Schizosaccharomyces pombe: one gene and its partners. The main gene of each other region encodes a partner of the protein of the gene in region 2 in a complex. Each region holds a gene or a part of one and is shown on either strand. Other genes may lie near its edges. The genes, in order: mrpl44, mhr1, mrpl12 and mrpl40.

What was found.
Region 1: mhr1 (region 2) and mrpl44 share a complex: the UniProt entries of both Schizosaccharomyces pombe proteins name them as parts of the mitochondrial large ribosomal subunit.
Region 3: mhr1 (region 2) and mrpl12 share a complex: the UniProt entries of both Schizosaccharomyces pombe proteins name them as parts of the mitochondrial large ribosomal subunit.
Region 4: mhr1 (region 2) and mrpl40 share a complex: the UniProt entries of both Schizosaccharomyces pombe proteins name them as parts of the mitochondrial large ribosomal subunit.

What each region holds. Positions count from the first base shown.
Region 1 is NC_003423.3:4,119,297-4,126,758, reverse strand, and holds mrpl44 (mitochondrial 54S ribosomal protein mL53), read right to left. Parts: upstream 877-7,462; coding exon 687-876; intron 614-686; coding exon 501-613; downstream 1-500. Other genes in the region: cnp3 (centromere protein), read left to right, coding at 1-190, 271-389; F-box protein Pof12, read left to right, coding at 1,178-1,324, 1,411-2,586; rpl1901 (60S ribosomal protein L19), read left to right, coding at 3,039-3,620; actin-like protein Arp10, read left to right, coding at 4,131-5,273; U3 snoRNP protein Utp20, read left to right, coding at 6,067-6,105, 6,171-6,257, 6,342-7,462. UniProt on the Schizosaccharomyces pombe protein: Component of the mitochondrial ribosome (mitoribosome), a dedicated translation machinery responsible for the synthesis of mitochondrial genome-encoded proteins, including at least some of the essential transmembrane subunits of the mitochondrial respiratory chain.
Region 2 is NC_003423.3:1,797,726-1,806,045, forward strand, and holds mhr1 (mitochondrial 54S ribosomal protein mL67 ), read right to left. Parts: upstream 3,566-8,320; 5' UTR 3,534-3,565; coding exon 3,006-3,533; 3' UTR 2,488-3,005; downstream 1-2,487. Other genes in the region: vacuolar membrane cation-chloride cotransporter Vhc1, read left to right, coding at 1-1,029, 1,076-2,487; SPOM_SPBC18H10.18C (uncharacterized protein), read right to left, coding at 4,631-4,968, 5,014-5,404. UniProt on the Schizosaccharomyces pombe protein: Component of the mitochondrial ribosome (mitoribosome), a dedicated translation machinery responsible for the synthesis of mitochondrial genome-encoded proteins, including at least some of the essential transmembrane subunits of the mitochondrial respiratory chain.
Region 3 is NC_003421.2:1,157,661-1,166,541, reverse strand, and holds mrpl12 (mitochondrial 54S ribosomal protein bL12m), read right to left. Parts: upstream 6,087-8,881; 5' UTR 6,033-6,086; coding exon 5,998-6,032; intron 5,949-5,997; coding exon 5,462-5,948; 3' UTR 5,207-5,461; coding exon of another isoform or gene 4,550-5,206; 3' UTR 4,226-4,549; downstream 1-4,225. Other genes in the region: SPOM_SPCC4B3.06C (NADPH-dependent FMN reductase), read right to left, coding at 752-1,354; protein Nro1, read left to right, coding at 2,492-3,673; Lsk1 complex gamma subunit lsg1, read left to right, coding at 4,550-5,206; ipk1 (inositol 1,3,4,5,6-pentakisphosphate (IP5) kinase), read right to left, coding at 6,416-8,325, 8,382-8,394. UniProt on the Schizosaccharomyces pombe protein: Component of the mitochondrial ribosome (mitoribosome), a dedicated translation machinery responsible for the synthesis of mitochondrial genome-encoded proteins, including at least some of the essential transmembrane subunits of the mitochondrial respiratory chain.
Region 4 is NC_003424.3:2,667,121-2,675,438, reverse strand, and holds mrpl40 (mitochondrial 54S ribosomal protein uL24m), read right to left. Parts: upstream 1,647-8,318; 5' UTR 1,460-1,646; coding exon 620-1,459; 3' UTR 501-619; downstream 1-500. Other genes in the region: ESCRT III complex subunit Did4, read left to right, coding at 41-340; SBDS family ribosome maturation protein Sdo1, read left to right, coding at 2,334-2,461, 2,656-3,268; Brix domain-containing protein Rpf1, read left to right, coding at 3,990-4,910; mrpl28 (mitochondrial 54S ribosomal protein mL40), read right to left, coding at 5,270-5,626; mrps12 (mitochondrial 37S ribosomal protein uS12m), read left to right, coding at 6,617-7,105; hxk2 (hexokinase 2), read right to left, coding at 8,256-8,318. UniProt on the Schizosaccharomyces pombe protein: Component of the mitochondrial ribosome (mitoribosome), a dedicated translation machinery responsible for the synthesis of mitochondrial genome-encoded proteins, including at least some of the essential transmembrane subunits of the mitochondrial respiratory chain.

The DNA of each region.
Region 1 (7,462 bases), 2.3 Mb from region 2:
GCCAGCTTGTTCAAGGAGGAGCCATCTTTTGCTGCTGGCGTCGTTGAAATGCCAGCAGGAGCAGAAAAACCAGTGAAGCCTTCGAAACACAACATAATGTCTTTTTGTATACTACAGGGAAAGATCGAGGTCACAGTAAATGCAACCACTTTTCGAATGAAAAAAGATGGAGTATTTATTGTTCCAAGGGGTAAGTTTAAATATACACATTTCTAAAAATTCAAACAGGAATTATACACCGAGAATGTGTTTTGACTAACATTGCTTTAGGGAATTATTACAGCATAAAAAATATCGGCAAAGAAGCTGTTCGACTTTATTATACCCATGCGACCGACACCTTGGAAAATAAAAGAAGGGGAATAGGGGATTTTCCAAACGAACGATGACAATACTAATAGTGTGTTATGGATTTCGATGTACAAAAGTCATTTAGTCGTTATGTAATTTAATTATCTGTTATCAATTTAATCATATTAATAAAGTCATTTTTTCTAAACTTATTTTTGCATCATTTCCTTAAATTTAAGCGTTTTACTGTAATCGTCAATTAATTCAGTTAGCCTACCAATATTCATTTTTGTCGGATCAACAGTCAACTTTTTTCCATCCTCTAAATAATAATTATTAGCAAAAGTCAAATCTAACGGTCGCAGTTAAACCATCTAGCTACTTAAAAGCCTTACTGTATACAACTTCAACAGATGGTTTTGAATTGGTATCCTTTGATGCAAGACTGGTAATGAGATTAAGTCCATAAAGAGAGTTGCTGGTTTCTTTACTGGCAACTGCTAGCAAAAGTTTCGCAGATTGACTAGCTTTGGAAAACGGGTTCACATTCAAAATTGACAATTTATTAATGTACCCAAATATCATGATTAAAAATTTTAACTGGAGAGTAAAGTCGTCAAGGAATGTAATTAAAAGAGATCTTTATGTGTAGATATTTTAAATACATTAAATGGTGGTAAGTTTTGTAAACGAAATGACATTTGGTAAGCTAGGTGACCGTTACCCTGATAGTCTCACTTCCTACAACAACTAAGTCAACTTGGAGATACAAACGAAACTAGTATGTCTCTATAATACAATTTGTCATTCCAATTTTATATAGAACCTCGGTTTCCGCTTGTGAAATATTTTTTCATGAACAATTGCAATTTTGATTTTATCCAACATGACTACCGATGTGAAGGCTAAAAACCCTGCGTCGATTTTCAGCCATGAAACCCTCCTTCACGTTCTTAATGATTTGTCTGCACATGACTTAGCTGCTTTAGAACGTGTATCTCGTAGTTGGAATTCAATTGTGCGCCGTTCATCGGTATGTTCTTCTTGACTTTTTAGTGATATAGTCGAATTTTCATGTTTTGAGAGACTGATTTCCATGTACTAACGACCTTCATACAGGTATGGCATAATTTATATCTCTCAGAATTTGGGACTAAGCATTTACGACGACATGGTCGCATTGAAAAAAAACGAAGGAATTGGAAAGGATTGTTTCGAAGGCAATCTAACTGGAAGGACGGACGTTGTAAAAAAGTAGAGTCTATGCTCCCTCAATTGCTTAATTCTGAAAAAAGCGTTGGAGAAGATCGTTTGGGGCTAACGCTTACACACCAAAATAATATTTATTTTTGTAATGACGTTCAAATATCAAAATGGAGCTCAGTTGGTAACAGTTTGAAATGCCAGGCTATTTCTTCTTTTAGAGATGAAACTGTCAAATCTGGTCCGGCTGTAATGTGTCTGGATAACGCCAGCCTTTATATTGGTTTAAAGGATGGTAACCTGCTACATGTAACGGTGCATGAGACAGGTTTCGGAAATATTGAAAACCTTGCAACATTCTCTACCAAATTTGTGGCATTATCATCGCATAAAAATTACATTTGTGGATTGACAAACGACAACAATTTATATATACTTCAGCATTCTCATCAAGCTGGAACCAAATTGAAAGTACTTGGTAAATATCATGTTTCAAGTATTGAAAAACAGGTTGCTATTCACTTTCAGCAATCAAAAGAAGGATATGAAGTTGTTCATGTAGTTTTTAATGATTATGTTCTATCTGGTGGATGGACCGTTAGTTTGCAAGAATTTGTTTTCAACGAATATTGCGTCAAAAGTAGTAGGCTTGCATTGCATGACAACAAAGACATTGAGTACTCTCAGCAACCTGCTTCTGCTATTTTTATGTATGGGTCCTATATTTTGACATCTCATCCGGACAATTCTTTAATTTTGCAGAGGCTTTATTCAACTAACAACGAATTACGGATAAAATTTTTAGGTCGTCTCTTAGGACACGTTTGTGGTGTTCAGATATCTAAACTATTTTCTTGTGGAAGAATTGTTTCTGTATCCAAAAACTGTGCCGATATTTGTGTTTGGGATCTTCATGATACAAATTATCAATCAATCGTATCTCCGCTAATGCTAACTTGCACAAACATCCACAATAAGCCCGTATCTGATTACGAAAAAGAATGTAAGGTTCAAGATATAGGACTGTATGAAGATACTATTTTGATAACCCTTTCCGACGGCAGAATATTAAAGTTTCTCTTTAATATTTAGAGAAAGGTTTCACTTTATCGTACATGATTGAATTCTAAATGATGAGTTTAACCATAGTTTTATAATTTTATTTATATTATTATTATTACTTAGATTGGATTATTAAGTGCCTTTTCAAGGTTAATGAGCCTCAATATACTGTATTACGAGTATCTGCTATACCTTTCAGTTTGCATCCTCTAAAATAATGAAACACAATGTGCATATTCGGTAACTGATTCAACGAATGTAAGGGATAATTTTAATAATCATATTTACTTCAGTCAAAGCATTTGGTAATGTTAATAAATTTTCTAAATACTTTTTTTATTCTTTATTCGTTGTCATTGTTCCTCATAGCAGAGTACTGAATTATCACCCAACCCTACCCTAAACGTGACTGCCCCAAAAACAAAAGAATTGACCACGCCTGTTTAAGAAAGATTGTCCGTCCACCAAAAACAGCAAGAAAAATGGCCAATCTTAGAACGCAGAAGCGACTTGCTGCATCCGTCCTTAAATGCGGCAAACGCAAAGTTTGGATGGATCCTAATGAAATCAGCGAAATCAGCAATGCCAACAGCCGTCAAAACGTCCGTAAGTTGATTAAGGACGGTTTGGTTATTCGCAAGCCTAACTTGATGCATTCTCGCTTCCGCATTCGTAAGACCCATGCCGCCAAGCGTCTTGGTCGTCACACCGGTTACGGTAAGCGTAAGGGTACTGCCGAAGCTCGTATGCCCTCTGCTGTTGTTTGGATGCGCCGTCAACGTGTTTTGCGTCGTCTTCTTCGCAAGTATCGTGAGTCTGGCAAGATTGATAAGCATCTTTATCACACTCTTTATTTGGAAGCTAAGGGTAACACCTTTAAACACAAGCGTGCTTTAATTGAGCATATTCAACGTGCCAAGGCTGAGGCCAACCGTACTAAGTTGATCCAAGAGCAACAAGATGCTCGTCGTGCTCGTGCCAAGGCTGCTCGTCAACGCAGAGCCAAGGCTGTTGAAGAAAAGCGTGAGCAACTTTACACTGCTGCCGAAAAGATTGAGGAGTAAATGAATATATTTTCCCCTTTTGAACTGGAATAGCATGATGATGATTATTTTTGTTTTTTTTTCAAGCGGTAATTTGTGCCTGATTGTAGTGGATTTGCAATTGTAGCTTTTTTTGTAAGCAATTATGTTTAACGTAACATAGCAATTATTCGTATTTCTCTTATCATATTCTTTGTAAGTTGCATTATAAGTAAATGTGTATTTAATTCATATTATTTTGTTTATACATATAAAGTTTGAGTTAATTTAAGTGTACGGAATGCGTTTGATTAGCCGTACTTGTTTTGTAAACACACGAATGTTTTGAGTGCATTTCCGTAATACATGTATTCTTTGTAAATAAAAAGCCATCCACTTTTTATTCAGTAAAACAATTTGTTTAAAAATTGTCAAAGTACAATTATTGAATAAATATCAAACCCTTACATTTCTTTTGCCAAACCAAACAAATAGCGACAAGAGTTTTTTTAACATCACTGCTACTAAATTGAATTCCGAGTAATTATTTTGATGCGAAAAAATTGCGATATTAGCACCGTAGTGGTGCAAATTGACGAATTTGGAATTTACATCGGAAATGCTAGCGATAAAGAGCCAACTTGGAAAGTAGATCTTGTTCCTTATAAACAAAGCTGGGTCCCTATATCCATTGTGACAACTATAATTCAAAGATACTGCTTGAACACATTTAACTGTCTAGCTGAAATAGTACGCGTTGTATTAGTATTGGACATTTTTGTTACAAGGAAACAGAAAAAAGAGCTTTGTGATGGATTATTCAACACTTTAAACGTTCCAATCACGTTGTGGATATGTGCACCATTAACAGCGATCCTAAGCACATCAACAAGAGATGCAATAATTGTGGATATCGGGATGAAAGAAACAAAGTTCATCGTAATTTTAGACCTTTGTATCTTAATGCATTATACAAAAACTTCAAAAAGAAGCTTAAGTACGGTTTTGGAACGTATGGCTGACTGTTTTAAACTGAACAACAAGAAAAATTCTCAAAAGCTATTGGAAGATGAGGAGTTTGCCGTAACGGAAGCATTAATGAAGTCTCTTTTAAAATCAAGAGTACCAAGCAAACCGACTGAAGAGCTCTATCAATTAACAGATCAAGAAGCTTACTTTCGGTATTCGGATATCTTACCCTTAGCTGAAACAACTTGTCAAACAAATAAAACTGAACGGGGCTCAAGCTTTAATGACGCTGAAAAAATTAGAGTTCCATCTTGGATCGCCAATGCAGGCATTGAGGCTCTCTTTGAGGGTTCTGATGCTGGAGGGTCGGACATAGCAGACCAAGCCCTTCCTAACGTTTTACTATCTCTGTACCGTATTCTTCCAATTGACATTAGAAGGATTATGTCGAAGTTAATTGTTTTTAATGGGATTCTTCCTTCGCTTCCAGGTTGGTACCAGAGATTTCAAAATGAAATGACATCTCGTGGACTCGCTATAAAAGCTGTACCAGGACAGACAACTGCAGACATGATGGCATGGAATGGAGCAAGCACTACCTGCGAATCACAGTTAGATTATGACCCGGATGATCCTAAACATCTTCGTCATTCTATTGTTGAGTCGCCATTACTATATGGCCAAGACCAATACTTCAACGGAGAAAATGCCCCAGAATGGTGGTAAAACACGCATACGATTAAACCACGTTCCTCCCTTAAATTGTAAACATCTTCAATATTAGCTATCGTATTCGAAGTGGTGCGAATACTTACTAGATTACATAGCTGTGTTTTAAGTAAACCATGAAATTTCATCTAAGAGAAGGAAATAAAAACAATGTAACAAAGATTTAAAGAGGGCCGAATTTCTTGTTAAAGGTATGAGCTTTTTACAGACAAAACCAAACATCTCTAGTAGTCCTTTTGTATCGACGTACAAGCAGCCGTATATCGAGGACCAAAGATTTCTCTTTATGTAGAATCTCAATATTCATATTTTTACAATTGATCTAATTTCAACAATAGGCAAGCAGCCATAAACCAATGCAATTGTTTGGGATAGTATAACAAATTCATGATTCGGATAGCATGTAAAGTAATGCCTAAATCCTAACTCCCTGGATATTTTATATGAACGTCAAACACCAAATGAAATTTATGGAAGAGCAACATAACTGATGATTTTAGCCAGCAGAGAGAAAATGCCATTTCAAACTGTTTTTTGAGCAAGCTGTATTGATTCAAAGTAGTTGTTACCTTAAGAAAAAGAAAATTAGCAATTTATGCTTGAGTTTAAAGAATTCTAACAAAACATGTTAAATGTTTACAGCTGCTAAAATATACTTCGATAACCAAATATACTGCCTTTTGGTACATTACAGTATTTATATTCATTTGTTGAATAGGTTACAGGCAAAACTTTGTAGAAAGCGCCAACTTGTCATTATCTAGTGATACGCGCACAATTCTCCTTGGAAATGAAAGCTGCGGCGCAGAGCAATTCCAAAAACTATGTTGTATGTACAGTTGTCTGACTAAAAACTTTTATTGAATGTGTACAATTGCTAACACTTAAAATCAGTTTTTGCCTTTTTCCAAGAGAGTTGAAAATTTAAAGATTGATGTAGCTCATAAAATCCCTAGAGCTGCTGATTTAGAGGATGAAGACGTATGTTCACAATTAATTAGCAAAAACAGATTTAAAGTCTGAAGTGCTTTGACTCCATCTATATGTATGCTAACAATCGTTTAGGTTGAGTCTTACTTTATTTCATGTCTCAGGAAATGGGAGGACTTGAATCTTTCAACCCACTATGTAAACTTTCTTCGTAGTGTCACTCCATACTCACAGTCTTTACCTCAAATAGTATATCATCAAAAAACAATTTTTGATCTTATTGTACAGTATGCTCGTGAAGGAGATTCACTGTCTTTACAGCCAATCTTAGAATTATTGACACAGTTTGCTCGTGATCTGGCACTGGAGTTTGCAAGTTATATTGATCAAACCTTAGAACTACTCTGCATTCTCGTTCAGAATAACGAGTTGGAAGTTGTTGACTGGTCTTTTCATGCTGCTGCTTATCTTTTTAAATATCTTCGAAAAATTCTTGCACCCCGTTTAATTCATACTTATGATATTCTATCCCCTCTATTAGGTAAGGAAAAGCAGAAGAGTCATGTTACTCGTTTTACCGCTGAGGCTTTATCTTTTTTGTGTAAAACAGTTTCTTACGAGAATGCAATTGAGTTTACTGGACATGTGTTGCTCGATCTAAACGATCACTATACTCCTCAATATCACGAGGGAGTCGTCATTCTCTTTTCAAGGATAATACAGGGCGTTGATACGAGTATTCACTTTAAAGGAAAAGCTTTTTTTGAAATCCTATTACGATCTGAGATTTACACCTTGCCAAGGTCTAAAAGTGTGATAATTCCTGTCTTAATTTCTACAATTCATCATTGTACTTCAGATTCCTTTAACGAATTAGAAAAGTTAATAATTTCTAAAATAACCGGTGAGCCATTACTATATATAAATTTATTTAAAGCTACGTTGGTTACCAGAAAGGGCTCTCGCGTATCTGATTATCCGTCTTTCTTTAAAGCCTATTTGCAGATACCCAACTTAGTCAGCTGGGAAAATATAGAGTCAGATCTTTCAGTTCTGATATTTGAAATATCTGCTCTTCTTTTTGTATATCCCCAAATTTCTGATTTAATGCCTCACACGGTACGCATTATTTCTTTTTTACAACAAGGTCCATTACACTTGTTTTTCTCTTTTGTTGATGTTGTGAAACAGCTAAATATGCAACGGTATGATTCCTTCATTAAACCATCTCTTCCCAAATTTATTTCTTCACTAGT
Region 2 (8,320 bases):
TAATACTCTCAACAATATCGATACCAATCTCTTCGATATTTGTTCATCCTTTCAAAGATCCTTCCTTACTCGTTCATTTTACGGGATTAAAATGGTCTACGCTGATGAAAAATTTAGCATCTGCTTACACAGAAAATGAGAAAGGAACAGGTTATGAATCTTTTAAATCTACATTTGGCGTATTTTTTCCTGCAACGGCAGGTCTACTGGCTGGCGCAAGCATGTCTGGTGATCTTAAAGCACCTTCTCGTTCTATCCCTAAAGGTACTATATCTTCTCAAGCAACGACCTTTTTGCTTTATTTGCTAGTAATTTTATGTGTTGGTGCCTCTGTAACTCGTACGGGACTTTTACTTGATATGGACGTTATGGAACATATTAGTTTACATCCTTTATTCATCATTTCTGGAATTCTTTCTAGTGGCGCCTTTAGCTCGTTTATGGGTATATTTGGAGCTGCAAAGCTATTACAGGCAATCGCGCGAGATGATTTAATACCCGGAATGTTTTTCTTTGCAAAGGGTTCTAGCTACGATGATATTCCTTATGTTGCAATTGGAGTGACTTACTTAATTACGCAAATCAGTTTATTTTGGGACATCAATATGCTTTCTTCGATGATTACAATGACTTTTCTTCTGACTTTTGGCTTTATCAACTTATCGTGTTTTCTGTTACGAATTAGTAGTACCCCAAATTTTCGACCTACCTTTCGGTATTTCAATAGACGCACTACACTGGTGGGTACCATCTTGTCATTTGGCGTAATGTTTTACGTTGATCGCTTGAATGCCTTTATCTCATTTTTAATTGCAGGAATTTTGGTGGTAGTCATATATTTCACATGTCCTCCTAAAAATTGGGGTGATGTGTCTCAAGGCATCATTTATCATCAACTTCGAAAATACTTGCTGCAAACTAATAAAGCAAGAGAAAATATAAAGTTTTGGAGGCCTCAAATTTTACTTTTGATTAACAACCCGAATCGGTCAGAAAATGTTATCCGTTTCTGCAATTCATTAAAGAAAGGCATGTATACCGACATTTTTTGACAATACTAACCCATAAATTATAGGTTCCCTCTATATCTTAGGGCACGTTATTGTATCCGATGATTTTCAGGCTAGCATGGATGATTTAAGAAAGCAGCAACGTCTTTGGCATCAGTTTGTCCTTGATCGAGGTATCAAAGCATTTGTTGAACTAACTATTGCTCCAGACGAAGTTTGGGGTATCCGTGGTCTTATATCTTCTGCAGGCTTGGGGGGAATTCGTCCAAACATAGCTGTGCTAACATTTATTAATACGAATTATCGTAGACATCGTATATACTCGGGTTCTTCTTTCTCTCTTGAGAATACTAGTGAAGAATCAGAATCTGACAGTAAAAAAGAATTTGTGGAGCATGATATACTACCTGTGAAGTGGGTACAGATATTGGAAGACATGCTTGTTGGTTCGGTGGACGTTATGGTAACTAATGGGTTCGATAGACTTAATTGGCCAAAAAGAAAGGGAGAAAAGCAATATATAGATATGTTTCCCATTCATAGAATATCAGGTGTGGGGTCAGAAGTCAATGAAAGTACACCAACGTTTGCGACGAATTTCGAGACGTATACTATGGTTTTTCAACTTAGTTGGATCCTTCATACAGCTTCAGATTGGAAACAAGGTTGTAGGCTACGGCTTATCACTCTTGTTGAATTCGAGAATGAAATAGAGGCAGAACGAGAAAGCATGCATCAAATGCTAGAAACGTTCCGTATCAAAGCCGACGTTGTAGTGCTCTGTCTTGCTGCAATGAATTTGGATGCATATAGGTACATTGTCAAAAATGAGCATGTGAGACCTAGCAAGTCTTCCGAGCTTGAAAACTTACTGAAAGATGACTCGTGGTGGCAGGAAGAAAAGAAAAGAAGAGGAAATACTGTAGATTCCTTAGGACCTATTCGTTTTCCACGTCGTATGTCTGGTTATAACTTTAGATCTGCCAGCTTTGATAAGAGTGCTCCACCTTTAAGTGTGCCATTGAGTTTCCGCCTTGGGCCACATATGCATTCAGTAAAGTCGTTTGAGACTGAATCTTCTTTCGGAAACCGTTCTTTATCACCAAAACAAGAAAATAGAAGAACTTATTCTGACAGTACTATTGAGTCATCTCTGATGCCCAACGTGGTCCGAGAAGATAGTTCATCTGATAGACTAGCACCAAAGAAAAAAATAGGAAGGGACTATTCTAAAGAGAAGTTGACGTTTAACGATTTATCCTCGAGATCTCAATACATAATTATGAATGAAATCGTGCTGAAACATACTAAAAATACTTCTGTATTGTTTACTGTTTTACCAGCACCTTTGGCCGACACTCATAAGAGCTTTCGAAAAAGCGAGGAATATGTTGATGACTTATTAATATTTATGGAAGGATTACCTCCTTGTGCATTAATCCACTCTAAGAGTTTAACTATAACTACCGCTCTTTAACGATTTATGGTATTTATGTCTTTGGTTTATAAAGTCTTTTCTTTTGGCATTGTTATAACTATTTAAATATTTGGTCCATGATTTCTATTTTAGATGCTAATATTTTTTTTTTATTCTGGACCAAACTTTAAACAAAAAAAAAACGAGGCAATAAAGTGATGAGTTAATCTTGCATATATTTCATAGGAGCTCGAAAACTTCAAAATGGTAAAATAATAAAGATACGAGTATTTGGTGTCGATTTGTATTAAATTTATCTTGTCTTGAGTATCTAGCCAATACTCTCGCATTGAAGTACAATGATAAGCTAAGGAAGCTGTCCAGTGCAATACACTGGATACACTGGGAAGAATTCGTAACCGTCTTTAGTAAAAAGGACTTTATCATTAAGTAAAAAAGATTGAGCTAATATGAATATGTGTTAGCTTATACTTCATATAATGCCCTTTAAGAAAGCCTAAAAATGGATGAGGGGTGTTTTTGAAGGAAGAAAGTGAGAGAAGTAATGATATTATGCTTCATCTAGCTTCGTCTACGGTTGTTTTTTCACGGAAACCTCGCGAGAGTTTAATTTCCTCTGAATCAATCTGCACACTAGGGGGCCAATCTGCATATTCACTATCGGATTTATCACTCAGTTGCAAACGAACGGAATTTTCGGGAAATTTTTCTTTATTTAAAATATCTGCCAAGTCCGCAATCGTGTTAGGAACCTCTTGTCGCATTATTTTTCTTCTACGAACGGGTATAGGCAATTTCAAAAGGTCACTAGTCAGTGGTTGAACAGAACGATATTTTCGATAGTTTAACAGTTGCATAAAAACAGATTGAAACATTGATTCATTAGGAAATTCGACTTTTAGTAAAGGAACCCAATGGTCTTTACGGAGCTTAGCGGGTCGCATACCATTTGGAGCGACTGGCTTTTGAAGTGGGTAGGGAAGTTGAAACAACGCAGTCTTTTTTAAAACATTTCCTTGAGATAAAAGTACCTGATTCGTTTGAATATGCCTAAATATATAGAGATACTTGTTCTTTTCAAGCATTCTTTCCTTTTACGAGTACAGATTGGCTGTTTACATATATGCTTGTAAGAGATGCGAAGTTTGTTAATAGCGCGTCCGCGTATAAACGTTGTGCCCAATAAACACATATCGTTTGCTAGCACAGATGTTAGGCAGCATTGCGCGTTGAGCAGCCAAAAACAGTAAATGTTTTAATGATACGGTGAGTGACGGAAAATTTGAATACTGGTCAGCTACGCAGTTTAATATCTATTTAAAGTGTCGCTCACGTATTTCGGTATCTGCTTAACGATACTTAAAGTGCAATGAATCTCTCTGTGACCTAATATATTATGTTACACAGTTAATATAAGCAGCAATTTCAATGGGTGTTCTCTGAAATAAATTATATTGTTACCTATGGACATAGCAAAAAATATTACTTTTCGCTTGGGCTGAATGTTGGTAGATTTTGAATACGAAAGATTTCATATAATACAAATTGAATAATTTTTTAATTCTTTTTGTAAAGAAATTGCTACTGACCAGGAATTGGGAAATCGCATTATTTAAAATAGGTTTTCGCTCTACACCAAATTGATTTTTCATTTTTATTTGTTTTAGAAACAAGTTTGAACTTATATTTCCTGTATATACTGTATTTTAAAGCTCCGAACACTTGAAAATGATATATGGAATCCTCATTTTATGCATTAAACAGAAACTAAGGTTAAATCACTACTTTGCGTCTTTTGAGTAATGCCTTACTTGTTCAATTTTTTAATTCGCAAATCTTACAAAGTCATAATTAAGGATTGTATATCAATTTGGTAAAACAATAAAGAGGATGATTAATTTATAATTGACAACCAGATTCATTAGTTAAATGACTTTTCCTAGCACCACAGAAACACATCGTGTTTACTCTATAACAGAGACAAAAATGTATGTATGGAAAAAGAGTGATGACTGTCATCGGAAATGATTAAGTGACAATGCGTATAAGGTAATAATACAAGAAATAGAAATAAAGGGGAAAAAAGGAGCTTCTGCAGGAAAGTAAGAAAATTAGTAATGAAATAAAAAAGACACTCGCAGCTGGTTGGCAGCCCCTTGATTTTTTTTTCTAGCCATGACTTTTAGCTGCTGCCCGATTCTACATCTTTAGAAGTGTTGCAATCGGTTCCCTCAGCCATTGTGTTGTCACTTGCTGGCTCTGTGGTAATTGCTTGGCCTCGCATAGACGACATTTCAACGTCGCCAGTCTCTTCATCTTGTTCTATTACTTCGAGCCCGAGAATAAACAACAGTAAGGATAAAATAATATGAGCCAAACCTTGAATTGCTTTAGCTACATATTTAACTAGGCCTGCAATCGTTTTAGCTACATGTTTAGCTAGACCTTCATTCGCTTTAGCTACAGATGGTGCATAAACATAAGCTTCTTCAAACGCTAATTTAATTAACGAAAATGAAACTAGAAAATCGTTAGCCATGAATTCAAATCATCTCAAAAACTTACAATAAACAATAATCACTGTCATCACGTATGTAAATATTAACACTATAGTTTCAATAACATATTTAACCACAGAATTAAGATCCGCCAATGCCTGATCGAAATAATTATAAAAATTATGATAAAGCAATAAAGTAAGAATGAAAGGAAGGAAGATATGAAATATCGCATATCTAGCTTGTGTAAGTCGCACATTTTCCGAACGCTTTCTTAATCTAGCAGGTGCAGCCATTGTATTTTTTTTTCGTAACGATGGTTGTGTTAATGTTGAGTTTTGTTTGACAATTGGATTGTTTACATGATTATTGACTGAATATGAAGGACAAGAATGTAAACAACCCTTCTCCAAATCATTCCAAACTTCATTGTATTGAGGTAACTTTTCGTCTGGCATTTTGAAGAGCCTTTTACCAATAGTGATTATATACGTTTGAGTTCCAACTTGAACATTGCAAAATAAAATGCGAAATTAAAATATAAAATAGATAAATAGATCAAAACCAAACACTTGAATAGCCTAAAAATCCACGCGTTCTAAGCATCCAACAAAAAGAGATGGCTCTTGTTAAGGAATGAAATTGAATCATTGTGCTGTCAATATCAATTTACGCACAAGTTAGCATTAATTAGGCACTGCGTACCAATACGCTATAATAGCGATGCCTTGCTTCGTTTTATCATACTTTGAAAAGTATGCAACACTAGTTATTAGACAGTGGGCTACACTAAAGACCGCTATAATGTTTTTGCATCGCGAGTTACTATTATGTTACATGTTTTATTTACTCTACTAGTTTTGCATGAATAGTTTATCCAAGATATTAAATTACCAATTATAATAAGATATTTACCAGTAACAATAATACTGATTTTGAATACTATAACTTGAAAATTGAATTGAGGAGCGAGGTTCAGCCATGAGCTATATCAGCGTTAGGTTACAAACAATACCGACATCAATAACTCAGGTTACTATGTATTCATACATCTAGTAATACAACAGATCATCATTAGAGCTCACCGCAATCCTACTTATAATTGAAGCAGATATCAAACTGTACATTTAAACAATTGTATAATTCATTAAATCATACCTTATTGGCAATTTACAACGAGACTGTAGAACTCCACAACAGGTTTGGAGCGAGTTAGTTCTGTTGAACTGTATTTTATACTATTTCCTATTTGTTGGTCGAGCTCAATAGATTTTGGTAGGTTTACTATATCTTTTTAGGTATCAGTTGTAACTACCATTCAATACTTTGTAATTCAAAAATCATTATGTTTATTTTTATAGAAATTAATATGTGCCGCTGTTCAACATCACCATTTTCTTGTTTCAGATTTAAAGAATTAATTATCCTGTTCTCCACGGAAGCTCTGAGTTTTAAGTCTGCACGTACTCATTGCCGATATTTATTTCAACTCAATAGGTATCATTACGGTTTGGAGAACCTAAAAAATCTTAAATTATGAATTCCAACGTAAATATATGAGGAAAATAAAGATGTGCCATGCTTTACATATTTTGAGCGAATCGACCAGCTATAAACAGTACTCATCAACACATTAGTGGTGAGCATACCGTACATGGAAAAGCAAAACATCCTTTTTTAATAATACAATTTTTTCTTATTAACTAAAATCCTTACCCGATTAGGTGGGTGTTGTTCATCCATTATCTGTGCTACATTTAGAGAGAGACCTCTTTCCAAATCGATTACACTTTCATTTTCTATGTTTACACATCACTCATTTGTAAATAGACCTTCTAACTGGACAATAAAATTTTCTCAGTTTTTAAATTAAAGAAATGGAGAGTATTATACAATATTGCATGAATTGAAAACATTGAAGCGAAAGAGCGTGAACAAGGATTTCATCCTAACTCGTAAAGCAAATGTTCATTCTGCCTCGTTTGACATATCAGACGGAAGTCAAATCAAAGTGGATTTAAATTATAAAATAACTTGAAGTTTCATTTTATCATGTTTGCAGATTTTATTTACATTTCATCTCCACATTCCAATTGTATGCACATATGCAATACCCACTGTTACTGGTTCCTTTCTTAACGAAAATTATCGCCGCATACTAAAAAATATTTAATTTGTTTATTGTGACTGTAAATTAATTTGTGTTTTTAGATCTTTTATCGGGTTTCTTCAGGACGGGCTTGATGACACTTCGATTGTTTACAGAATATATCTATAGTTAAATTATTTAAACAACATTAGCAAGTCCAACCTATAATAAGGAAAATAAGCTCACTCTGGAAGTTCTACTGGTTTGGCCGATAATGTTTTTAGCAACATGTAACAGCGTTTACTATTGAATTTGTTTAAATTTCTTAAATACCATTTTGATCATAGCAATTCTGTTCGGTTGCTTATAATATTGCTCTAAATTATTTTTTATTTCACTTACTTCTTCTGCGTTTTATTTCTTGCTGACTGTAAATATGGTTAAATTGTTTTCAAAAACAAAGTATCAAATTTTTTTTTGTGCTTCTTCAGCGGACAAATGAATAGTAAAAACTGAAAGCGTGCTTTTTTGTTGGTAATAATGTTTGATTTACTCTTTTTTTTTTTTTTTTTTTTTTTTTTTTTTTGGCTCAGACCTTCTTGCTCATAATGATCTGGGCCATAGTACATCAATTTTCGAAGACAGTAATAAAGCAATTAAAAAAAAAAATTTTCGCCATTGATTCAAACTCACATCAGTTATCAATTAAAAAATTTCTTTACAGTTAATTTCTGCTATATTATTTTATTGAACCTTTTTAAATTCATTCAACCATTACGGAAGACACTAAATTTCCTTAAAGAATGAGTTCTGAGCTAAAGGATCAGTGGCCAGCTTTAAGAATAAGATATATTACGGCAAAGTTTCAGAATTATCTAAATATAATTTAATATAAATACATTTAACGATTATATTATGTATAGTATTATAATCCAATTAATTAATGGTAGCATATAATGACACGCAAAAGGGCTTAGTGAAGTCTTGCTGCTGACAATAAAGTGCATATAATGTTAGCTTCGCAGTTTGGTATCTGATTTAAGGATACATAGAACTGCGGTGAGTTTTCCTTGTGATCTATTATATTACAATACACAGGTTGTATGAGTAGCAACTGAGTATAGGTATTGTATTAACTAGGTTATAATGTTACCTATCACTAATATATCTTATAACTGAACTGAGGGACGAGGTTCAGTTGTTCTCAATTTATAATATTTGAAGTAGTAAGAATTATATCTGATAGTTATCTTATCATGAATGATATTATATCTCCATCTTGATG
Region 3 (8,881 bases), on a different chromosome or scaffold from region 2:
CTATTTAGAAATAATGTAAAGATAGTAGGAATGTGGGAGACAAGAGAAAGGATTGCGCTAACCAGAGATCGTATCACCATGTAAGAAAATAGGGAACCACAAAAGATTTGGCAGAATTAGCAGTAAATTCTACATTTTCTCTAGTCAAATCTAGTTAATTTGTTTAGATATTTCATAGTCTCGTGTATTGAGCCGTTGTCTTGAAAACTAAAATCCCTTCAAAGTATACCTAAAACCGATAGTATTGTAGACTGGTATAAGGTTCAGAGGCCTGACTACCCGAGACCATATCATAATGCTTATAATGCATATTATTCATAACGACTACATGTGTGTACATATTTTCTTGACATGTTAACAGTCAAAACAAAGCAGTTTTTCAAGTAGTAATTATGTCCTTTTTCTTATAAACGAAAAACACGAATAGCTTCACTGAAATTGTATTAAAATATAATTTTAAAGGGAACTTTTACTGCTGAACAAATTCGTATTACACAATGACTGAATATGAACCGTGTTTACTAATACATGCGTGCTAAAAATCCTTCATTAGGCAACACGAACAGCAGGAAGGATTAAGGTATTAGAGTCCATTGGTAAGTTGATATGACAGTAATAGATCTATCCATGTGAATAAAATCTAAAACCAAACAGATTTACTGGAAAATTGGCTTTTTAAAAAAAAACAAAAAACAGACTTTATTAAATGCACTCTATACTAGCTTTCAAAATACTCTTATGTTTTAATTATCTAGGGTTTCCTTTCAGGATTGCTTTCAAACAACTGAGAAAACTCACCGAAGGCTTTCTTAAGTTCACCAAGGTGCTTTGTAAATTCAACCGCTGGGTCGACTACACCTTGAACAATTTTATCTCTGGGTAACGTGAGCGCTGGCATGGTAGGCGCGACTCGCATCTTAAGAAAACCGGCAACATGTTTTAGTTGCGAAGCACAATCTCCTCCTCCATGGCCACCATAGCTTACAATCAAAAGCGGTTTTCCATTCCACTCGTGATACAAGTGGTCTAAGGCATTTTTAAGGATTGCAGGATATCCACCATTGTATTGCGGAGTTACAAAAACAAAACCATCTGCTCCAGCAATTTTGGACCCCCAGGCCTTAGTATGTTCCTGAGTGTACACATCTATTCCCATAATTGGAAGTCCGGGTTCATCGCTCATAGATAGAGGCCAATCAGTTAAATCAACTTTTTCGTAGTCAAAATTAGTCTCTCTTTTTCCCATCTCACCAACCCACGTTGCAATAGTTGGACATAAGCGTTTGCTGCGAACGCTTCCCATAATAACCAGGATTTTGGGAGTAATCTTCAGTAATTTTTCAGGCAAGGTCATGATGTTAATAATGTAAATGAATATCTGAGTATTCTTTTACTGTGTGAAACAATGTAGTGCTTTTATAAACTAGCATGTTGTTATGTCCGAGCCTCGGACATGACTAATTGTTCAAGATAACTTAGTAATATTAAAAAAATTAGAAATTCTGTCATCAAATGGTAAAAAAGGCTTTATTTTGTTTTATAATTGGCTAACAAACTTTCAATTTCATCTAGTACATTCATCCTAAGTACTTATTACTTCGGCACCTGAATCAAGTAATTTATTGATATGGCGACCGAAATATATATACTAGTGCTGTATTTTTAAGGTGCTGGAGCAATCTTGGTCCATTACCATAAAGCAGCCGTTTAAAAAAATTAAAATAAACAAACTCGTTGATCAGATATCGTTCAAAAACTAAGAAACGAATTCAAATTCCCTGCCAAAGAAACGGTCAAAACCACATAAAAGTTGCGATTTCGTATTATATTATTGTTTAATAAAGATTAGCGTTACATTACAAAACTGCCAAATCTTCAATGTTATCTCGTGCTGGCAATTTTGTATAGCACCTTTTTGCGCCATAAGCCCTAAGAAATATTGCCGCATTTTGAATATCATAGATCTCCTTTACAGAAACCTATCTTAATCAATTTACTAAGTTAAATTTCGGCTAGATATGTTTACTTCAATTGCTCTAGATCCGCTGAAGTCATAAAGCTTTACTTTCTTCCATCTCCTTTTTAATTTTGCTCTTTTTTTTTAACAATGAAAATCCAAAACGTGTTAATGTATCTTGCTGCATAATTAGATGTTTAAAATAAGCTTCCCCTTCACAATTTAAAATCATCAATTTTTGTAAACAAGTCAATATGTACGACTGTATTACGAGCCTCTATACTTTCCACTAATACATTTTAACATGTCAAGTTCTCCAAGCTTCTGGTAACTCGTTTTCCACAGCCACAAAACGACGGTATTGTTTTTGTTACGCCATGCTCTTATTAGGTTTAACGCACATGGCCGACAACGCAACAACAATACCACATTACGTTGTAACTTGCTAACAAGTTTCCCGCGCGATTTTTGGGTAGAAAAAATCACTCGATGTCAACGCTGCCTTAGCAAAACAGGTTAATTTAACGGTTCGTTATGATTGGAAGAAGACCTCAAGGTCTACGCGCTGCTGCTTCTTTAAAGAAGCAGCAGCAGCTTGAAAAACAAAAGCAAGAAGCCTCTTATGAGCTGTCAGGAAACTCGTCTCCTAGTAAGGAAAACGGAAGCGAAAATGTCGACAATGGAGAAATGGAGGATGAGACAATGCTTGTTTACACAGAGGAAGACAATATTTCACAACTTTGGGGTTTATACGAGATGAGTCGCGAAAAGTTGGAAAATGACGATATAGATGCTAGTGTGAGCCTTGTCTTTGGTACCATTCACGAGGCTGATAGAATATTACGGAATACCGAGGACATTTCTACATTACCCAAGGACTTTCACGCGGCCTATTCCTCCGCTCTTTTGGCTGTGTCCGAGCTTTTCGAAATTGCACAAAAGCGTCTTAAGGAAACCAATACCGAAGAATCCTACATAGATGCTGCAATCGAGAGAGCTCAACTTGGCTTGGATGCTCCTGGCAACGAATCGAGACTTTTCCTTGCTCTTGCTCGTGCTTACCTTGAGAAGGTACGTGTTCTTGTTTGGCGTCACGATAACGAGGAATCTCTTGCCAACATCCCGGTCACTCAGTTGGTAAACCCATATATTGAGAAGGCCATCCAATACCTTCGTCCTCTTGCTCAGGATTCCACTGAATATTTTGATGCTCTTACCCCCGATTCTTTACGCCCATTATACATTCTCTCTTCCTACCTCTTTCAATTCGGTGATCAATTCTCTGAAGCTTTTCTCCTTGATGTCTGTTCAATTATAACTGCATTGTGGTTAAAATCTGTTGTCGATCCCAACACTCCTGCCTATTATAAGTTAATCGCTCAAGAGGCTGTTCTAAATAATTATACTACCTTCGCGGAATATTATATGGATTTGCTCGACAACAGTGAAAGTAATGTAGATGACCTAATCAACAAGGCTTCCAGCTGGCTCAACAATTCTGTCGATACCTGGAATGTTATTTATACTCTGGATAAATCTCCTGAACGCTTGTTAAAACTTGCGGATATAAAGATGGATCTGGCTCAAATTGTTCAAGACGAGGCTAGTCAGGATAATTACTTGAAGGAAGCTTGCAATGCTATCAAGGAGGCTCAAGGATCAGGTGTTGAGTTAAGTCCTGATTATGTTGAGTTTGTAGAAGCTTATTCTGCTTAGGATCGCTTTTACTTGCAACTTGACGGGTGTATTTCCATTATATCATTATCCCGTTGTTATATTTTTCTCCTTGAACAATACATCCTGCATTTTTTTTCTCTTTTCGAGAGTATTTTTCTCCATTATATTTACTTTTTAGGCAAACCTTATAAGTTTGTCGCTGGCCATTTTAGATTTCAAAGCAGTTCTTTATTGAAAGGAAATGTTGATTTTGTATGTACGACTTAGTAGAGCGTATAAAAAAATAAAAATTGTTTACTGATTCATGGGTTTCATTTTACCATATAAGTAAGGTCGGTTTTTGTGCTTTTATTAAAGTATAGTAGTTATTCTTTCCCGCTATTTATACTCAGAGATCCTAACAGTTTGGTGAATGGTTATAACTTTATCAGGGCTATATAAAAATATCTTTGAAAATTTACTATTTCGCTGTTGAAATTACTAAAAAAGTAGTATTTAATAAAATGAGATTTTAGTTTCTTTAAAGGTACAGTAATAGTGTTTGAAATAAAGTAACATGCTACTTAAAGCAACAGATTTTGCAACATGCTAACAGTTTGAAGACCTCTTAATATTACTTATGCACTGAGTATATTTTAATTTATTTGAATCTGGAAAGGTTCAACGTCCTTTCGCAAAATAGTATCCCAACGCTTTTTTTAGTCTCAAATTTCAGAGATTGCAGCTTCAAGAATAGATGAACACTTGGCAAAGGAAGTTTATTCTATATTTGAAATTTAAGACAACACACATTATTATTATTTAAAAAATTATTCTTGATGTTTTTGGAATTCAAAGTTCACGAAGTATAAGAAAAACCATCATAACAAAAATCGTTGTTGCACTCGCAATTACCAATATACTTGCAATAATAAAATGGATCCATTTGAGGGCCGCATGACATTTCTACAGCTTTTGGGAAAATTGAATGCATCGCAATTCTCTCAAATTAAACCCGCGCAATTTGCAATTAAGCATCTAGACTTGGAAGAAGACTTATATTCATGTATATGGGAGGAACTAGAGTCAGGTTCGTTCAATACAAGAGTGAATATCATGTACTTTGTGGACACACTCTGTGAGATGTGCTTAAAAAATGGCCTTACAGGTGGATATCTTAATATGATTAGTAGAGATATCTGTAAGCTAGTCCAGAACGTAGCTCCTATAGGAGCTGCTGGAGCTGCTAACGCTCCAGAGGTTAGAAAAGTACTCCAGTCTTTGCATGAAAAGAAGGTAATCGATGATAATCAATATAAAGATGCTATGGCTACGGTAGAAGCCCATGAACAAGCGAGCAAGTCAGGTGATACCAGTACTTCAGGAGCCATTTCAAAAAACGACATTCTTAAGAGGATTGAAGAAGACAGAGAGCGACACAAAAGAATGCGTGAAAACATTTGGGCTATTTCAGAACCAGAGTTAGAAGCGGAAATTGCATGGAACACTACCCAAGGAATTACTGAAAGCGATTTGGAATCCCTAAAGGATGAATACGAAAAGTTTAATGAATGTCTTCATGCAACTTCCTGAACCGAAGAGCGAAAACATAGAGTGTAACCCAAATAGAATAAAAACATATAATTAACTAATAATTTTGGAGTATTTTATACATTACCTAATATCTGGTTTTTTTAGAGATGATGAATTTTCCCTCCGTAGCTTAGTTTTTATGGGAATCCAAGAAAGTAAATCGTGTCACAATGTCAAAGCAATAACAAAAAGGTTGCCCAAAGAATTTGAATGGCGGAAAAGCATAGAAATGAAATTTTTTATAAACAACCCAGTTTATTCGAGGACTACTTTACAAGAAAGTTTCTCTAACTTCGATTTTATAGCTTCAGCATCCTCTTTCAAAATATTTTCTTTCAAAACCTTTGGAGCACTTTCAACGAATTTCTTTGCGTCCACAAGAGATAATCCCAAAAGAGACTTCACCTCTTTGATCACCTTGGCTTTCGAACCAGCATCAAACGATTCGAGTTTCAAATTCCAGGTGGTTTTTTCCTCTTTCTTTTCCTCAGGAGCTTTCTCTTCAGAAGGAGCGGCTGAAGCTACTGCTGGAGCCACTGCTGCCATCGGAGCTATTTCAGCAATGTTTAACTTCTCCTTTAATTGCTTTACAAGTTCAGACGTCTCTAACAATGATAGAGAGCTTATTTTGTCAACCATTTCCCCAATTTGGGCATTATTGTTTTGTACAGATGCGGCAGCTCGAAATGATCGCGTGTTTACCAACGATCTTGCCCAGTTCTTACTGGAAGATAAAGCACGTCTTTTAAAGTTAGTATAAATTTGTTAATTAAAAATAATTACAATCTTACAGATTTCTTGTTTGGCGTGATGCGATGCGAAACATGCTGTATTTTAAAATTATACTTGAGGTGAAGTAAGGTGCAAGTGAGATGGGGGTTGGCAAGTTAAGTATAGTAACTACAACTTTTAGGTGATCATTCATCAAATATCTAAAATATGTTCAATGGATCTTATTAATTTTTCATTAGTAATAATTAGAAAATAAACTAACCTCGTAGTAAAAAATGCTCTAGAATTATTAAGTGTTCAACAGTTAGTTGAAGAGAACAAATAAATCTAACCCTTTATTTTTATGCTTTTATCTCCCTGTTAATTATCAGGCATATAACAAATAAAACAAAAATGCATAATGTATTGAAATATTGCAATAAATCCACAAATTGATGGTGGTATTACATATTAGAAAAAAAATTAACAATGAGATAATTACTTTATGCTGCTCCGGCATGCTTTGTCAGTAGACTTCATCCCACGACCATAGTACCAACCGCCTTCAATCAAATTCCTTTCATCACGTTCCCATTTAGACATTTTGGTATTCATGTCTTTAGGATCTAAATCTAGTAATGTTATGTGATCTTTACCAATGTATAAAGTCACATCTCGAAGGGTCATCGCTAACGCAACATCAGTACGAGAGTATTGCTCTTGTAGGTCACGAAGCTTCCGTAGTATACCAGACTGAAACAATCTCATTGCGATATCAGGACTCACAAATCCTTGAAGACAGCACAAAAACTTGGGCCAATTGTTGAAATCAAGCTGTAGAGGACAAAAACCAACGGGTCTACCACGCATACGGCTAAGGGCACACGTTCGACAAACAACCCAGTCAGGTGGAGCGGCAGGGGACTGAGTCAACCATTTTGGTTTCATTTCAATTCCATCTTTGAGATCTTTCATTACCAAACAGTATTGCTCATTTAAATTTAAATAAATACCAGAAGCATTTTGGGCCGCCAGCAAAAAATCCCTAGTAACTGGCTGCAAAAAAACCTCAATTAAAAAGCTTTCCATTCCAGCAAACAAAGGATAAATTACATTTTGATAGTATTCATAAACTTGTTCTGTAGTAAAAACCTGTCCTCGACGTCGAAGACGAATTACCTTGTCTTGAAAGTAAGGATTTTTACCAACATACTCAAACACCACATTCGCACTTCCTGAGGCAAGGTATGCCCATTCAGAAATCACCAGGGATTTACCGGTGGAGGAATGATTGGAGATAACGGATGTTGGTGAATAAGGTGCAGGGGATTTAAAAAGCGGATTCGATATAATTGGAACTTGAAAATTACTACTAGCAACCGATTCATCTTGGGACTCTACACCAGAAGAAAGGGCTTTCATGGATGGAGGACGCGACATAATTGGAGTTGAAGGAGTATGTGTGTCAACGGGAGAATTTGTAACAGAAGAGCTAGCGGTACTAGCCATAGGCGAAAGGCTTACCTGAGACGCTGAAGTATGCAAATTCTGAGCGATGAGAGAATTCATGGCATCAATTTTTCCAGCTTCCCACTCTCTATTTGATAAAACATCACCAGATTTTGGAAGTTCTACGGGAGGACGGTTGTTGTTTACGGCAATTAAGGAAATGCTTTCAGCAGCCTGGCAAACTGAGGAAAACTCAACGAGCCACGTTTGGGGAATATCGTCTTGAAAACAATCCCAAGGGCGAACAATGTTGTGCATTTTTCGAAACATTTGAAGTTGCAAGCAGTAAAAATGCTTCATAAGTTGTCCAAAAAAAACACGACTTTTTGCAATAAGAGTTGGGAAGGACAAAGTTAAATGCTTCTGAAGGTCATCCAATTCACCATTGACACGGACAAGCTGGCTTTGTAATGCTTTAATTTTACTTTTTTTGGTTTCAGGATCAGGCAATTCGTAAACAACCAATAATTCTTTTTGAATTTTTTCAAGTTCTTTTACTTTTTTATCTCTTCTTTTAATCATTTCAACTGCCTTCTTTACATAGCCTTTGACCTCCTTGCAAGGAGCAATAACTATGACATGGAAATTTTGCAGGGCAAGCAAGACTTCACGACGTTGACGTTCCAAGGCCTTGTTCCAATCGACCAATGTTCCGACAGAAGCAGCAGGTTGTTTTTCAGGAGGTAACTGTCTGTACAAAGAAATCCAAGAGGCAGTGACGGAGGGAGCTATACAAACCATGCATCTCCAAGCATCATAGAAGAGTCGAGAGTTATCGATTGTAGAACGAATCGCTTTATCTAATTTGTGGATCTGATCACTCCACTGCTCAATTTGTTGATCAGAAGCAGCAATATCTAATTGTTTAGGTTCTTTTTTAGACGTAGTCTTTGTATAATCTTTTGTAAATTAAATTAGCACACTATACAAATTCAAAGGAAGTAAGAAGACATACTTTTTAGAGGCATTTCAAATTAATAGAATAAATAGGATGCAAAAAAGAAAAGAAGAAGGGTAGAAAATGAGAATAGACCAAAATTCTGAACGAAATAGTTGTAAGAGAAGGAAAATATAACCAACTGGCTGATGAGTAAGTAAGTAAATGTGAATTGAAACAAGAAGCTCTAGGATAATTTTCTAGTCTAATAAGGCGGGAATTTTTGATGCTCAGCAAGGATTTGGCGGTTTGACAGGGAAGGTAAATCTTGGGGATATTCCCAAAGGAAATCAGAGGTTCTCGTATTATGGTATTAAATGTAAAAATAAGTTAAAGAGCAGGTGCTTTGAGCATCCACAGAGAATTCCAACTCCAATTCGAAAAAAATAACCCCTTTCGAGGCGTTGATTAATGGTGAAAATAACAAATGACTGATGTTAGGTCAGCTTTCACTTACTGATCCTATTTATGAATCTCGTAATCCGTATTTACGAAACTCAAGAAAAGAACAATTGCGA
Region 4 (8,318 bases), on a different chromosome or scaffold from region 2:
CACCTTAATATCGAAAAATATAGAACTAACTTTTACAAAGTTATTGACAGGGATGAACAAAAGCATGAATATACCGGCAATGGCTCGTATCACTCAGCAATTCGAGCGTGAAAATGAAATTATGGAACAGAGACAAGAAATGATTGATGAAAATATGGACGATGCTTTAGAAGAAGATGACGAAGAGGAAGCTGATGAACTTGTCAATAAAGTGTTGGATGAAATTGGAGTCGATTTGTCTCAAGGATTGCCAGATGCTGCGACCCAAATTGGTACGGTACCGGAGTTAAAGACTGAAGACAATTTACAAGCCAGATTGGATGAACTGGCAAAGCGTTAATTTTCGCACAAGAGATTAATGGACTTTAAAGATCTTGATTTGTATAGATTTTCTACATTGATTAGTAAAAGTTTTTCTAGGTTAACGTGTAAACTTCAAATACTTCACTTTCATTGAAATCACTTATCACTTACTCTACTAAGTTAAATATATTTAAGTTTCTTGAAAAATTTTTTAGAAGAGTTTACAAAAGTTTATTAAGCTTTATAACCTAGAGATTGTGAATCATTATGTAATGTTATAAAAAAATGCTTGCAACGACCAAACATCGTTTTTGTTTTAATCACTGTAAGTATTAGGAGAGATGGGTTTTTTTATTAAATCTTCAGCAGCAGTCTCTGCTCGGACAAGATCTTTAGCAATTTCAGTAAAATCATCATTGTTCTTTTTATATCCCCATATACGATCTAAACGGCGAGACCAATTGGCTCGTAAATCGCCAATTGCAAACGGAGGAAGAGGAGGCTCCGATAAGCTAGGAGACCAAGTAACTTTACTAACTACTGGATTCTTAGTATCGAGTTTACCTTCGGGATCTTTAGGCTTATCTTCAGTCTTGGGACGAGGAAGATGAATAGTATGAATTTGTACTCCTTCAATATTAGGCCGAATAATGGACCGGAGATTAGTTGAGGAATGCTTTTTAAGCTTAACTGGAATAAGAACTGGTTCCCCGGCGTCAGTCTTTGCATGCGCAAGAAGACGCACATTTGCATAATGTACTTCGTGAGCAATATCAATTACTGGATCTTGGTTATCTTCAGGCTTATTTCGCAAAAGAAAAATTGGTACTTTGACGGATCTCACATTAACCCCCTCTATGGTAATACCGTTTGTGTATTTGTTTGTCTCAACAACACGGCCCCATTTTCCTTTCAGAGGTCCTTGATGAACATATACATAATCCCCTTTAAAAATATGCCAGAAAGGGACTCTGTCAGCTGGCTTTCCAAACGGTAACTCGGGTTTAGCGGATTTATCGTCTTTAACAGTTGGATCAGATTTATTGAGGTGTTCGCGTATTTTGGTTCGCATATGCAACGGTAAAGGCTTTTTCATTTTTAAGACGTTAGTACCAGGGCCTCGGAGCCTTGGAATTAATTTACGCAAGTCTCTCATTCTGCTCAAAAAGTTTTATAATATTTAAATAACTAACGGTGGTACATCACTTGTACAGAGGAATTTACTACGCTGTAATGTTGGAACGAAAGTAAAACCTCTAGACAGGATAAATATGGCCAAATATAAGAGAAAAAATAAGAATGCTATGAAACAGTAATGTGTATCCTGCTGGTAGTTTGCAGTTGTTATTTGAGTACTCTCTTCGTCAATAAGTAAAGAAATGGATCATTGTTACACAAAGGCAACTTTGCGATACGTGGTTAAGTTTCATTATTTAAAATTTGCTTTTGCTTTTGCACGCAATATTCTACAGCTTCGACATCGTTAACCAACATTAAAATGATGTGTACTCGTTAAGACAATGTCATTCTATCTATTTGTTTATAAGTTTAAAATTGAAAATGTTAAGCGAAATCGTATAGAAACGCTTCGCAAGTGGTTGTGTTAATATACTAGGATGTAAGATTGAAGTTTTGTCGGATAACTCAAACTTAGTCGATACTTCTATTGTTTTCTACTTTTTTTTTAGTATTTGCTGAATTTAGGTAATAATTTTTAAAAGCCTAATATCATTCGTGATTTGTAAACTGGTTTAGAAAACCCGACAAATAACTTGCACTTATATTAAATATTTAACCATAAGGTTTTCCAAGATTATGTTAACATCCGAAAAATGATTGGAACCATCCTTTTGCCTTTCAGGCTCGCAAATATCAAATTTTTGTTTAATTTTCAGATAAATCTAAATACCGATATATAGTGTATGGATTGTTAACCTGTTTAACAGATTTAGGCGTTGGATTAAAACACTATAATTAGAGAAGGTGAGAATAACAAAAAATAATCCAAAAAAGTACCCATCTTGAGCAAAATGGTTATTAGTCAACCTGTTGGACAAATTCGTCTAACCAATGTGTCCGTTGTAAAATATAAGAAAGGAGGGAAAAGATTTGAAGTTGCTTGTTATAAAAATAAAGTTACAGAATGGAGAAACAAAATGTATGCATGATTTCATTAAATTAAGCTACTGTAATTAGTGAGAGTCAGCCTTTGCTACAGATAAATATTCTTTAAGATCAGCAGAAAATTATAACAAGCTATCTTTTTGAATTCACGTGTCTTGTCGACTGGTGTCAACAACTCAATAACTCGTACAATTTTTTTTGATCAAAACCATAGCTAACCAAGTTTAGTGAAACAGATCTGGATGAAGTTTTACAAATCCACAATGTGTTTAACAATGTTTCTAAAGGACATGTAGCTAGCCGACAGGATTTGAAAAAGGCTTTTGGTACAGATGATATAGATAAAATTATTTTAGAAATTTTGCAAAAAGGAGATTTTCAAGTAGGTGAAAAGGAAAGACATCATCAAATGTCTTCAACTTATCGCGATATTGTCTCCCATGTTACTGCGATGTGCATGGATCCTAATTCTAAACGACCTTATCCAGCATCTATAATTGAAAAAGCATTATCTGATTGTGGCTTTTCTGTCTCTACCAGTAAAACTGCAAAGTCCCAAGCTCTGGAAGCTATTAAGAAATTGCAAGAAAAAAACGAAATTCCTATCGTCCGTGCGCGTATGCGCATCAGAATAGTGGTGGATGTCAAACAGGGAAAAGCTTTACGAGAGCGTTTACGCTCTTTAGCTGATGAAATTGAAGAAGAAAACATTGATGATGAATATGAGTGCATAGCTCTCGTGATTCCAGGGAATTATAAGTTGATAGATGAACTTGTCCGAAATGAGACCAAAAACCGAGGTATGGTTCAAGTACTCGACATGAGCGAGGCTAGGACTTAAAAAGGTATACAAATAACCTTTCTGAAAATACGCTCTATATGAATTCCCTAATCTGTTTTCCTCCTCCTTTTTGCTTACATTGTTCATTGGCTTTTGGTTTTGAAAAATTTTGCTATTAAAAGACACGTTCTGATTCGTTCTGGTTATCCAGAACATTATTTAATTTATCAATATAGCAATTCAGTTCAGAAGAAAGTAAAAAGAAAGTAAAGAAATGAAATTAAAAGACTATCGTCCCTTTCATTTCTGCTAGTTCCATTCAAAGCACGCATTCAAATGTGAAAATGAAAGTAGCGTGAGTGATTTGTAGAATGTTGAACCCTTACCACAATGCTTTCAGTTGTTCAACAATTTAATGATGAGGATATCTATAGTGTACGATTTCGGATTGTAATATCACCTATTTACAAACAGTAATTGTAACTAAAGTATACATTTTGCTTAACAGCAGTGTGATATAATACTGCGTTAATACTTTTAAGCAAATTTGACGAAATTCGTAGCATGTTCTTCAGATTCGGTATTTTGCGACATGGAATTGGATTGTGCAATAAGTTTTTGAGACTTCAAACCCATCGTATACTTTTTTTTAACTCTCTTTTATTTGTACTTAAGTTGCTCATTCTTATCTCAATTTTTTTTAGTTGCAATTTTTTGTAAGGATTTAAATTATTTCATTCTTAAATTTTAAATTTTGAGAGATTATACGCAACTTATTAAAATGGGGAAGATTAAAAACAAAATTGTCCGCCAACAGCAGTATATGAAGGCTCTTCATCAAAAAAATAAGGACAAGCTTGAAAGAAGAAAAGAACGTGCTAAAGAAGAAGAAAAAGACCCGGAAAAGAAGAGATTGCGACTTTCAGAAAATATTCCCGCTACTATTGAATCGAAACGAGTTTATGATGAAACTATCATAGAGGATAAACCCGATGAGGAACTTCAGGCGGAGTTAAAAGATGATGAGTTTTCTGCATACTTTAGTGAAGAAAGGAAAGTTCCGAAACTTTTGGTAACCACGAGTAAACGAGCCTCTAGAAAATGCTATGATTTTGCATCTGAGCTTTTAGATTGTTTTCCTAATGCTGAATTTCGAAAAAGAACCGGAGATATTGAAGTTCATGAAATCGCAGAAGCCGCTGCTAAGCGTGGTTACACCGATTTACTGGTATTAAATGAGGATCGTAAAAAAACAAATGCATTAACCCTTGTACACTTACCGAATGGCCCTTCGTTCTATTTTACCTTATCGAATCTCCAAACAGCAAAGGAAATTTCAAATCATGGCCGCTCCACTGGTCATATTCCAGAACTGATAATCAACAATTTCTCAACGAGACTTGGTATGACTGTTGCTCGAGCCTTTCAATCATTATTTATTCAAACGCCTCAAATTCAAGGGCGACAAGTTGTTACCATCCATTGTCAAAGAGATTTTCTTTTTTTTCGAAGACACCGTTATGCATTTCGTGAAAAATCGAATATGCCAGATGGTATTGGAACTGGGCTACAAGAATTAGGTCCTCGATTTACCATGCGTCTTCGTATGGTTCAAAAAGGAGTATGGGATAGGAAAGAAGGGGAGGTTTTCTTCGAGAGCAATGCCGGTGAAGAATCAGATAGACGTAAATTCTGGCTTTAAAGACATTTTGTCTCATCTGCGACACGTTGTAAAAAGAAAACAGTGTTTGGGTCATATTTTATTGTTTTCGAGGTAGGGTTTGGGTTTGGTAACAATTCTAAATTTTTGGTTAAAAAAGAAAGCATGGCCTTTCATTTTGTATCATTCGTTTACGGTGAAATTGGGAATGAATAATATGATACATGTAGACTAGAAACTAGGAGACATAATTCTTTAATTCAATTATTGGTTTATTTAAAAATCCTAATTAGATTATACTTGCTCGTAATTAGTGATACATTTTTTTATATACTTGAACTTGTCTATAACACTTTCGAGCACTACCGAAGATATTAATTATACTCATAAAAGGCGCTCGCCTATTTAGAAAGCCGTGGTGGTGTGTCCGTAGGAGTCCTCGTTTCTACGGGGAACCTCCTGTTAATTGAATCGCTCATTGCGGCTTTATATAATGTTTCACTCGTATGCTTCAGTTCCTCGCAAGCAATTTTCATTGCAGAGAATTGGTTTTTTAGAAGATTCTCTCTTTGTTTTTCTTGTCGATATTCGTGTATACGCCAAGCGCGATTAATAACTTCGTGTTTTTCCCACATGTCTGGATTCATTTTCAAAGACCTGACTTTTTTATTTCCGTAAAGAGCTTTTCTAACCAAATCGATTGACTCACTATGATTAGAAGGACCAGATTGGTGCTTTCCCTTTGAGGCCTTAGCCATTAATTGTAACGTAGAACGCATCTGCCAAAAAACTTTTCAACACAAACTAAAGTACTCCTTGAATTTTTTCACGTTGATAGAAAAAAATTTAATTTTCAAAAGTATTAACATAAAACCTTCCTTTAAAAGCTAAAAAACCTGAGTAGAGAAAAATGCGGTAGTAGTAAACGTGTTCAGTGGTATGAAGCTAATTAAGAGAGTAAGTCGTGATACACTAGGAAAAGCCACCAGTACGATATTTCAAAAAAAGAAGTGTTTCATCAAATCCCCTTCAATTTCACACACTGATAAAAAAAATATAGATTATAATTCGGAGTTCATTTAATTGTTTCTGAATTTTCAGTAGCTAAGCCAAACAAAGCATATGCATTTATGGAGATATGTAACCAAACGAAGACATTTAACAAGTAGAAAATATTAAGTTTTAAGTCAAAGCTTTATATGGAGTAGGCCTGATGCTCAATTTTTCTGCTAAGTTTCATGTAAGTAGTCAAACACATTGATAAATCCATATCAGTGTTTAAAGTTTTAATGAATGGATAAGTTATTGTAATAAATACTATCATCAACTGAAAATGGCATGGCAAAACGAAGCTTAAACCTCAATACAATCTACTTCCAGTACGTTTTTCAGTAGAAGTCATGAATTAAGTTGATTTTTTCAGCTTAACACTGTACTGTAAATTTGTCGATTAGCATACCTACATTCTGCATCTGTTTTAGACTAGTCCATTAAAGTTCAATTCCTAGAGGAAAAAATATTTAATACGCTAGTTATACCCAAAAATGTTTGTCAAAATATAAAAGAATAAATTTTTGTATCCCATCGAATAATATGAATGCTGCGAGATATTCTATTCCAAGGCAATATACATACACTAACACCAAACCAGCGACGTTCGGGTACAAACTTCGGAATTCCTTGCTCAAGCATCTATTATAGTGATTTTTGAGATTTTATACAGCTCAAATATTAAATTTCCCCAAATAATGATCCGTTTTGCTCAATATGCTCGATATCCGGTAATTTCAAGGTTGATGAAGCCAACAGTTATTTCACCATTTCAGGCTCAAGCGTTTTCTAGCTCTTCAGTTATGTTAAAGACATTAAATCAAACGATAAGAAATAAAGAGAAACGTCCTGAAAAAACAAATAAGCAATCTGTTGCTTTAGAGGGAAGTCCGTTTCGACGGGGTGTGTGCACGAGGGTCTTTACAGTAAAACCCAAAAAACCTAATTCGGCAGTAAGAAAGGTTGCCCGTGTACGCCTTTCAACCGGCCGTTCTGTTACTGCTTACATTCCAGGTATCGGTCATAATGCACAGGAGCATGCTGTGGTATTGTTAAGAGGCGGCAGAGCACAGGATTGTCCAGGAGTCCAATATCATGTTGTTCGGGGTGTCTATGACATTGCTGGTGTAGCGGGACGTGTCACATCCCGAAGCAAGTATGGAGTAAAAAAACCGAAAGCAGCCTAAACTTCATGACCTCAAAGACTTTCTTTTTCGAAAACCATGATATTCAGAAACGTTATCTTTATAATTATTCCACCTCCTCTTTTGATATCGATTCACAAGGACCTTATTAAAATGACTGAAACAAAAATTTAAATGAGAAAAAAGTTGAGTCAACCCATTTGTCATTTCTCGCAACCTTGCTTCTTGTTGCAACTATACATATTCAATAATCATTTACTCTTGCATGTTTAATAAGCAATTTTTTAGTTGAACTACATCCCCTTTAAACATACAATCATCAAAAAAAGGTAAAAAAGATTGTGTAATTAGGCAATTTCCAGTTATCTAAAAAATTAGCAAATAGATAATCCTTTTGGTTAAAATTTAACCAAATCTATCTAAACAATGATTTATTAAAATGAGGAGGATTTTCTTTTGAGAAATCCTTTTGGAAAGTTTTCTACTTTTTTGATATAAGCTCTTTAAATAAATTTTAAACTTGAGACGCTTTCAATTTTTAATTTGTTCAATTTGGTTTTACTACCGTGCTATTTAATTTTTAACTCTTGAATAAAGTATAAAAAACACCTTTTGGGTGTTGGAAAACGCTTTCCGGTTCTTATTTATATAGTATGCAGTATTGCTAGCACAACTTCACCGTTCAACGTTGCAGAAAAATTTACTAAACGATGAGAAAAATATTTTTTAACAAATCTTGGTTAATTGGATTTCTTGAAAGAAAAAGAAGATTTTATCTTGAACCCGAATAATTCATAAATTTGAGATAATAGGGTATGATGAATCTTATTTTTTACAAACTCAGATTAAAAAAAATCAAATTTCTTTTTGTTAGAATCAATTTACACACACATCTTTGAGATGTCCTGTAATGTTTGTAAATTCCGTACTCTTTTTTGGAATGTTAACAAAATCGTAACAAATTTAATAACAATACACAACCACAATTTTGTTTTAAAGAGACATATAACATCAATCACAACATGCTTTTTAATTCATCTGATATTCAATCTTCATACTATTAACTAATTCCAGGAAATAAATTCACTTTCAAAAAAAACATCTTAACTAAAAGCTGTTAAAAAGCAATTTCATATTTACATGCTCATTTCTACGTACAATTCAAAAAAAGCTAACAGACATCTAACATGATTTAGGCCAAGCCTTTCTTTTCCTTAACAGCTTGGAGGGCGCAAAGAGCGGCACCAATACCACT